2 linked regions of the Callithrix jacchus genome follow. The protein of the gene in region 2 interacts with the protein of the main gene of each other region in a pairwise test. Links are inferred from orthologs where the notes say so. Each region holds a gene or a part of one and is shown on either strand. Other genes may lie near its edges.

Region 1 (4,322 bases), on a different chromosome or scaffold from region 2:
CTCTCAACCTTTAGATAAAAGTGGTGACGTCGAACTTCGCAGATAGAAGGACCCAAACACCCGAAGCAAGACTCCTCTTCAGAAAGAGCCGAGACCCCACAATGCTAAATCGGACCCAAGGGCATTGAACAGTTCCAACAAATCCACCAGAACTGCTTAACGCAGTTATTACACAAACGACGCCTGTTCCCTGCGAGGGTCTTTTTCAACCAAAACAAGAATCACAACCCCCACTAAAGACCCTGCCTGACAACTTTCTTCTGGGAATGGGCCCCAGAAGTTGCTGGTAGAAACTGACATGCCAAACTCAAGTGCCCAGAGGCCTCGAGAGCTCTTTAAACTCCTACTCTGCACGGTGCTTCGGGGTGCCCGAGACAGGAGACGGAGGGACTGACCACGGTAAATCTGCTCCCTCGAACTCCCCGGAACTGCAGATAAACTGGCCACGTGACCCAACCGCTTCCGGAGTGGGCGGGGAAAGGAGATCAGCTAGGCTCGGCGGCCCCCTCCCCAGTAGAGAAACGCGTACCCTAAAGGCAGCAGCACCTCCAGGTCCCTAACCCTGTGGAATCGCCTTAACCAACGGGCATATCAGACCCATCTGCTGCAGGCAGGAGCCTGGGCAAGCTACATAACCTTCGGTTTTCTCAGCCCTATGGCCGTATGCAGGGGGCGGGATGGTTTCCGGGCGGTGCCCGCCTGGGTCACTTCCCTAAACTCGGCTCCACCCTCAGGCCCATCCGGGAAGGCCCCGCTCGCCCAGAGCTTCGACACCGGCGGCCGGGCCTGAGAGTGCGCGCACGCGCCGACGGACAGCGCCGTTCCAGCCCTCGCACGATGCAAGGGTGAGAACGCAGCTCGATGGGGTGCGCTCCAGAGCCGGCCACGGTCTCTGGGATGCCCCCTCCAAGCCTTGCGGTGCAAGGCCCTAATCGCAGACACCCATGCCCCAACCAGAACTCTGTTGTCCCAGCATCCCCCCTCGCCGCGACAGCGCTCGCCCCTCCCCGGCGCAGGCATCTCTGCCACCTGCTACCGAGACGGACCCGGCTGCCGAGGGAGGGTGACGCGGAGACAAGAACAGCCTTGGGTGGGGCGCGCGCGCAGAGACCTCTCGCGCGCTTTTCCCTCACCGCCCCCGGGCCGGGTTTGGACGCCGCGTGCTCCAGTCGAGAGCGCGCCCCTAAGAAACAACGCACGACGCAGGCCGTTCAGCGAGGGGCGCGCCGGCGCGCGACCCAGACCCCTCCCCCCGCGGCCGCTGTCCATCAGCGCGGGCACACCAGCGGGTGGGGGAGGGGAGAGGAGCCCAGGGAGCGCGCGAGCGACGTCCAGGCCGGCCCTCCCCGGCGCCCCCGGGCGCGCACGCGCATTCCGGTACTGCCCGCTCCTCCGTGCGAGACCCTCATCCCGCCCGGGGCGCTGGGGGAGGGGGTGCCGGACATCGCTCCCCCGCCGCCTCCCGAGCGCAGGCGACCGACCCGCAGCCTCCTCCCTCGGGCGCCGTGGCCTGCCGCTCACCATGTTTCCGGAAGCGAAAAGAAGAGGGCACGGAAAGCCACAGAAGAAGAGAGTGCTGCAGCCGCTGCCGGGACCCGACTGAACGCGGCCTCTCCCGGCCCCTTCCGTTTAGTAGGAGCCGCACAATGAGGGGCGGGGCGGGCTTCCGGTGCTCCCTCCGCGGGCCGACGGGAAATGGAGTCCGGCGGCCCTGCTCCGCCGCCGCGCTCGCTGGGTAACGGAGTCTTCCCGCGGGTCGGCCCCGCGCCGCAGTGCATGCGGGGAAATGTAGGCCCGGGCCGCGGGCAGGGCCGCAGCGCGCAGCGCGAGCCTATTGGTCCAATTTAACAGGAACTGCTCTGAGTCCTGCGAGGCGGCGCTCAGTAAAATGACCCGAAAACGATCCCGGATTAAGCGGCTTTTTATCCCGAAGCAACACGGCTTTCTTAAGACCCATCTGATATTATCTGGCTTCCTTGTTCTGAAATTTTTGAGTAAAGTTAGGGTTTTGCTTTTCTGAATTGAATCCCGTCCTAAAGCAAAGAAAATCACAAGTATGAAGACGTTGTCAGGCCGACAAACACTAGTACTCTGCATGTGCAAAGCCACTTTCGTCTTCTGATAAAAGGCCATGTGCAACGTCAGTAAAATAAAAATAGGAGAAAAAGGCACAGGGGAAAGGCTGCAAGGAAATCTCTGAGAGCTTTGTTCTTCTTTAAAGATGTTTGGCAAAGTCATGAGGCGATAAAGGGTAAAGACGAGGAATGAATTGTACATTCAAGGCCTCGTTACGTGCCTTTTACGTGCCAGTGAAAAGGAACAGATATTAAACCAGACTTGAACCCAGCTCTCGAGTTTATAGCCAGGCATATGGCTCTTCCAACACCTGTAAAAACTGAGACAAGTTCTGTGGTAGTATATTCCTTAAAAAAAAGAAACGAGCGGGGGACTCCGGGATGATTTTGTTGTCCTATAACAGTGCCACAGCCTCACGCCCAGGAAGAGAAGACTGTGTCGCAAACAAGTAAGAGTCAAACCCAGAAATGGACCTGGGGGCCTTAAACCCGTAAACGGAATTAAGGTTGTAAACGGAGAGCGATGCTTGGAAGTGGGGTACCTTGCAGAGCATGCCGGGGGTTGTAGTCGGGGACGTTCCACAGCACCGCTCTCCACTCCGGGCTCGCAGCGCTCCAGGTGAAGGCTGCAGCTTGACCCCCGCCTCCCGCGAGTGCCCCTGCCTGAAGACGAGGCTAGCGCCACCTTTTTTGAGTCTTAGAGTTTCCAAGAGCAACGAGGAGGGGGACGGGGCTTCGCAGTTTCCCTGGAGACGCGCTCCTGCCCGCCCCTAGCCGCGAGATGCCCTAGATGTCCTTATTAGGACAAGAGACTCGAGGGGGGCGGGGCCAGCCCGACAGCCGGCTTCAGGCTCCTTATAAGGCCGCGCCGGTAGGGAGGTGGGAGCCGGAGCCGGCTGGCGGAGTCCGGAGGGGCGGGCCTCGAGCTCTGGCGCCCACCTCTCTTCCTCGCAGGCTAGAGACCTGCGTCTCGCGACTTCCGGCATAACAACTAGAGGCCGGGTGTTGCTTCAATCCCTGGCAAGTAGCCTGTGTCCAACTCAGCTATACTAGTCCTTCAGGAGTGAGGTTGAAACCCTTTGTAGGGTTTCCATTTGCAACCTCCTTGAGGGTCTCCCACATCCGATTGGCCACAAAAACGACGAAGTGTTCTGCCGTCTACCTGTGTTTGGTCGTCTTAACCCGCGGCCTGCTCCACCCGCCCCCGAACCCAACCACGTGCCCACCTCAGGTCTCCCCAACTGCCAAGGTGCCCAGGCACCTCTTAATTTACAGTTCTTCCACTAGGCCTCTGGCCCCCAACCCCCCAGGTCCTATTTTGGGCCTTCTCGGCACGTCCCCGACTTTCTCCCCACCACACTCTTTGCCCTGTATCCTGGGGATGAGGGCCACCATTTCCTCCAGGGATGCTGCAGCTCCTCCTGCCTTACCTTTGTGGCCTCATCCCCGGCGCTCCTTTCTGGGTGTCCCTCCCACCAGTATGTTTGCACCCGTTTGTTTCCCGGCCCCTGCCTCTTCGGGACTCTTCCTCAAGCCCAGTCTCCATCTCCAGCCTCCTCTTCAAACTTGAGGCGGAAACTGACAATCTTAGAGACCTTAGAGCGGCCAAGTTCATGTTGGGCCGTTAAGCACCGCCCAGCCAGTCCTCCCCCGTCACAGGGGGCGCTGTCCGTTTTCCTCTAACCTACACAAAGATGACCCCGCTCTCGAATCTGAGGTGACTGGAAGGAGCAGGTCCAGGTTCCGGGGACTGGGGCGGGGTGCGTCCCAAAGGCTGGTCCTGGCCGGAGCGGGGCCGAGGCGAAATATTGTTAGAGACAGCGCCGCGCACCAACCACTTAGAGCAGCGCAGGTTCTCTCGTTAGTGCCCCTTGCGTAAGGGGGCCCGTGATCTCAGCGGTCCTGCCCTCAGCTTCCCTCTTCTGCCGCCCCGCCCCCGACCAGGTGTTCGAATCCCGACTCCGGAACTGGCGGCGTCCCAGTCCCGCCGGAGGACCCGCCTTCGGGCTCATGGCTGCGCCAGTCCGCCTGGGTCGGAAGCGCCCGCTGCCTGCCTGTCCCAACCCGCTCTTCGTTCGCTGGCTGACCGAGTGGCGGGACGAGGCGACCCGCAGCGGACGCCGCACGCGCTTCGTGTTTCAGAAGGTGGGTCTTTGCGCGGACCGATGGGAACAGCTGCTGGCCAGGTCAGGCCTGCCCTGACCAGTTACCCTACCCCTGCCCCGCCAGGCGCTGCGCTCCCTCCGG
Region 2 (4,259 bases):
TATTTACTTGGGAACACACAGCCACACTTACATAGCCACAAACACACAGAGCCTCACTCACACCCCAGACAGTAACTTGCTTTTATAATAACACTACATTAAAACCAGCTGAACTTACCCTGCCAGGTGCGGCAGGGTGGGGGTGGGAGCGGATGAAAAAAGAAGTCTCCCGGGGCATTTACAGTTTCCACTGGATCACCTTAGTATGCGTGTTGCAATTATACCAGGGATGCACCCGAGAGCTTTTCTTTGTGCGGCCCTTTCATCTGGATCACTTTGTGTTTTGAACAAGTGAGACTCGCCTTTGTGCCCCCAGAATTTCAAGTACAGAGTCACACATGGAACAACAATGGCACGCTAATCCTCGCGCTCTAAATGGGCTCACTTGTGGGTCTGACAATTCGCCCAGGGAAACGAGAAGAGAGGAGCGAGACGCTAGCTGGTGTCGCCTGAGCCGAGGAAGAGGACAGCTGCAGAACTAATTTGGATTACATTCCTTGCTGAAATTCTGAAAAGGGCTTTTCGGCATAGCTCAACCCGGAGCCGCACAGTTAATACCAAATTGCTGCGGACTCGGAGCGGGGTCCCCCAATGGCAGAGGCTGAACCAGACAGTCCCCAGTAGGTCGCCTCGTAGAAATTCCTCTCGGTTAAGCCTGCATGTCGGTCGCCACTGCCTTTGAATGGGTCAATGTGCATAATCAACCCATTGAGGGGAAATATGAAGGGACTCGAAGTGGGGAGGGAGATAAAAAGAGATGTATCTAAGAGGCCGCTTGGAATGTCAAGTCCGTGTTGGTATGATTCCGGAGGTGGCTGGAGCGCGGGACCTGGTATGCATGAAGAATTTCGGAGTAATTGGGAGGGTGCAAACCGCCAGCACAAACGCCGCACATGTGCCATTCGAAGGTCATTTTGAAAGGCTCGATGATTGTAACTTGTTATTTACTAGGCAAAGGAGGAGGAGGTGGCGGCGGCGGCGGGGGCGGAGCGGGAAAACTACAGCTTGCTGTTTTCTTGGTGAGGTCAGGATACCCTACAGGGGCCTAAAGCTCTCCCTATCGCCACTCCCGGGGGCTTTATCACCTCGAGCTACCTCCCACGCTCCAGTCACCAGCCCCGGATGGTTTCGGAAATCTCCCTGGCTCTCCAAAAGCCACCCCTTGGCCGCGTCAGACAGCGGTCCTCCTCAGACCTCTCCTGTCCCACTTTCATCCCAAGAAACTCAAGTGTCAGAAACTTTGAGCTCCCTTGCACTGCAGGTGCTGTCATTAGTCCTGCACGCCGTGGTGCGCCAGCCCCGCCGCGCTGTCTCTCGGGGTCAATGAGCCCTTTGCCTGCCCAGGTACCTGGGGTTCGAGCTCTCTAGCAAGCAGTGGCCGTGCACCCAGCACCGCCGCCGCCGCTGCTCGCGCCTGGGGTGGATCCGGTGACCCGCAGGCTGGGCAGCACCGCGGGGCAGTAAACAGACAAGTTTGAAGGACTCCGGCCAACAGCAAGTAGAACTACAGGAAGAACTCTTCCCGGAGCCAAACACGGCAACCGACGGGAAGGCCGGGCTTCTGGCTCGAGTGTGCCAACCCTTTTTTTCCCCCTTTTTTCTTTTTCTTTTTTCAAGGTCAGGCAGGCCAGCAAGCGCCCCTGAAGTCATTGGGGCAAGGGCTCCGGGAAGCTGGCAGAGGAGGCCCGGCGCTCCGGTCCCCGGGCCGAAGAGGGCCAGCCCGCTGCACTTCGGCTGCCCCGGCTGGGCGCTAGTCGCGTCTGACCCTACAAGGCTCGGGTGACTGGGGCGCAGAGGCCGCCGGCAGCACACACAGGTGCGCAGCCCGACTCTCGGAGCGCCACTCTCCACCTCCCTTCAGGCTGGGTTCGGGAGAGGCCCAGCCAACACCGCCCTGGGACTCCAGCCCTTCCGCGGCCCCGGTGGAGCGGCTTCTTCCCTCGAGAGCCCAGAGTGGGACAGGAGAGTCTCCTCTGACTGGGGATTTCCGTCTCCCATGTCCCGAACAACAGGCGCCACCATAAGGGATCCCGCTTAGGCTCCACACAAAATGCTCGGGAGAGAAACATAGGGGGTTACGGAGAGAAAAAAAAGGGACAGGGGCTGAGAATGATTTTTGCGGTAAACAAAGCTCGCGCACACATACAGGGTAAGTTTCGAGTGGAAAGAGGGGCGACCGAGAGCCCCCGGTCAAGCGGTCCCTGCACGCCTCCCGGGATGGGTGAAGAGGGCAGGGGAGCCACTCGAGGCAGCCCCTCCGGCGGCGGCAGGTTTGGCAACCGGAGCGCCAGAAGGAACCCACCTGACTGAGAAGCGCTGGGCTGGACGGTCCCTGCCACCACGAGAAGGCTCACCCAGACCCAAAGTCCTGTCGCCGGCTTCATTTTTTGGAAGTCTCAGATCCCGTGCTGACAGTTACATGTCCAAATGGCATATCCCCCTTTCGGGCACGCGGAGGAGATCCCACAGCCGGGCGCGCGTGGGGGCGCGAGGGGGGCGGGCGCGGCGCGCGCGGTGTAGCAACTCCCAGGGCGGGCGACAGAGTCCACGCCGGCAGGTCCAGGGCCGGGGCCCGAGGAGGGGGCGAGTGTGCGTTCGAGTGTGAGCGCCTGTGTGCGCGTGGCGCTCCGGGCCGGACTGTGCAGCTATTTCCCCGCGTGAGCCTTCACTTGCTCGCTCCCTTCTCACTTTCTCTCTCTCTCTCTCTCTCACTGGTTGGTCAACAATAAAAAAGGAAGAGGGGGAGAAAGGTTTCCAAAAAAAGTTGATTGCAAAGAGGCGGTAGGTTTCCGGCCTCTCCCCACAGCAGGGCTATGTTGGGCTGCTTCTTCAGTTTCCGTGCACCTTCAGTCCAAATCGGGAGGGGAGCGGGGCGGGGGGAGGTTCTCGCTTCTCCCCGGATCCCGTTCTTCTTTTTCCTGTCAGCTTTCCTCACACTTGTCCGGCGGCTGCAGTAATTAAAGCTCTGAGCGTCATTTCCAACGCTCCGCGGTCTCCAGCTGCAGCCCCACAGAGAAATTAATAAGACTCCAGAAAAAAAAAAAAAAAAAAAGGTGGGGGGCGGTGGGAATAAAACAACCCTCCAAGCAACCAGGCAGGCTCTGCTCAGCCGCTCAAACCCCGCCCATGCTCTGACCCAACTAGCCACGCCCTTCCCCCCCCCCAAAAGGGAAATCTTATTGGCTCAGCCACTCCCCAAAATCCTAGGGCCTCCGGAGTTGGGAAAACACCTGTCAGGGAGAGGGAGCCGCGTGGTGGGGGCAGGGGAAGCTGGATTTAAAGGGCTCATCCGAAGCCACGCACTGAAGCACTCCTCTTCCCGCCCTGGCAGAGGCCGGGGACAGCTGGCCTGCGAAGTGAACAGACCATCGGAGGGGCGCTTACGGAAAAAAATTTTTTTTTTTTTTTTAAACAAGAAGGCAGCGTTTTTTCCATTGCCCCCCAATGCTCCTCTACAGACAGGACTTTCTCTAGAAATAAAAGGAAACTCAATGTTGCTTTCAGCAAAAAGCTTCCTCCTGCAGCACTCTGCCACTCATGGTCCACAATTAGAAAGTAGTGTGATCAGGAAGTAACTGGTAGCCCCTGCGGTTAGGTAGTTGTGGGTGTATAATCACCAATCACCACCCTGGCTCCAGCCCCAGTTATGCCATCTCTCTGGTTCTTCCCACATTTCCAAACTGACCATCATTGAGCCAAACTAAAATTTCACATTTATAAACCCTTATCCTTTGATTTTTAGATTTTGTGGGTTTTTCACCTTTGGAGTTCATTCTTATTAAGCAGATTCTTGTCCAAAGCCACTGATTTGATCCTAAAGGGCTAGAAATTGTCTCAAGCCTGAGAGAATTTAAGGACACATCAGAACATTATTAACCTTAAATGATTCTGTTTATTCTATAGTAGACCTAGCTTTAGGCCTCTTCCTTGTCCACACTCTGCATTCAGGCTCCCCAGTCCTGAGGCCATTGCTAGTTATGAGCATCTCTGACCTTTTCTGAATCTAAATATTCTGGGACTGGGTCATTTCAATGTACATATCCCTTGCCTTTTACAGCTATGAAACTGCACCCTGGCAAGGGCCAGAATCTCCTGGGGGTAGTAGGTTATTGGTTTGCTATTTGTACAGGCATTCTATGTATGAATTACTTTCCGTTTTTGGTTTTTCTAGAAGCAGCAAATATATAAATAAAAAGTATCAGGGGAGCTTAAAAATCAAACCACCCTGCTTTTCATTAGAGATCTTGATCTCTGTTTCC

The links.
Region 1: the proteins of ERBB4 (region 2) and CFL1 interact in a protein complementation assay, tested with the Homo sapiens proteins (2 studies listed by BioGRID and IntAct, with this or other methods). The link is inferred for Callithrix jacchus from reciprocal best matches to the Homo sapiens genes ERBB4 and CFL1.

The regions. Positions count from the first base shown.
Region 1 is NC_133511.1:122,933,855-122,938,176, forward strand, and holds the start of CFL1 (cofilin-1), read right to left. Parts: upstream 2,874-4,322; 5' UTR 2,630-2,873; coding exon 2,618-2,629; intron 2,347-2,617; exon of another isoform or gene 1,525-2,346; coding exon of another isoform or gene 1,522-1,524; exon of another isoform or gene 1-1,521. Other genes in the region: structure-specific endonuclease subunit MUS81, read left to right, coding at 4,086-4,220, 4,305-4,322.
Region 2 is NC_133507.1:134,244,713-134,248,971, forward strand, and holds the start of ERBB4 (receptor tyrosine-protein kinase erbB-4), read right to left. Parts: upstream 2,998-4,259; 5' UTR 2,385-2,997; coding exon 2,303-2,384; intron 1-2,302. UniProt on the Homo sapiens protein: Tyrosine-protein kinase that plays an essential role as cell surface receptor for neuregulins and EGF family members and regulates development of the heart, the central nervous system and the mammary gland, gene transcription, cell proliferation, differentiation, migration and apoptosis.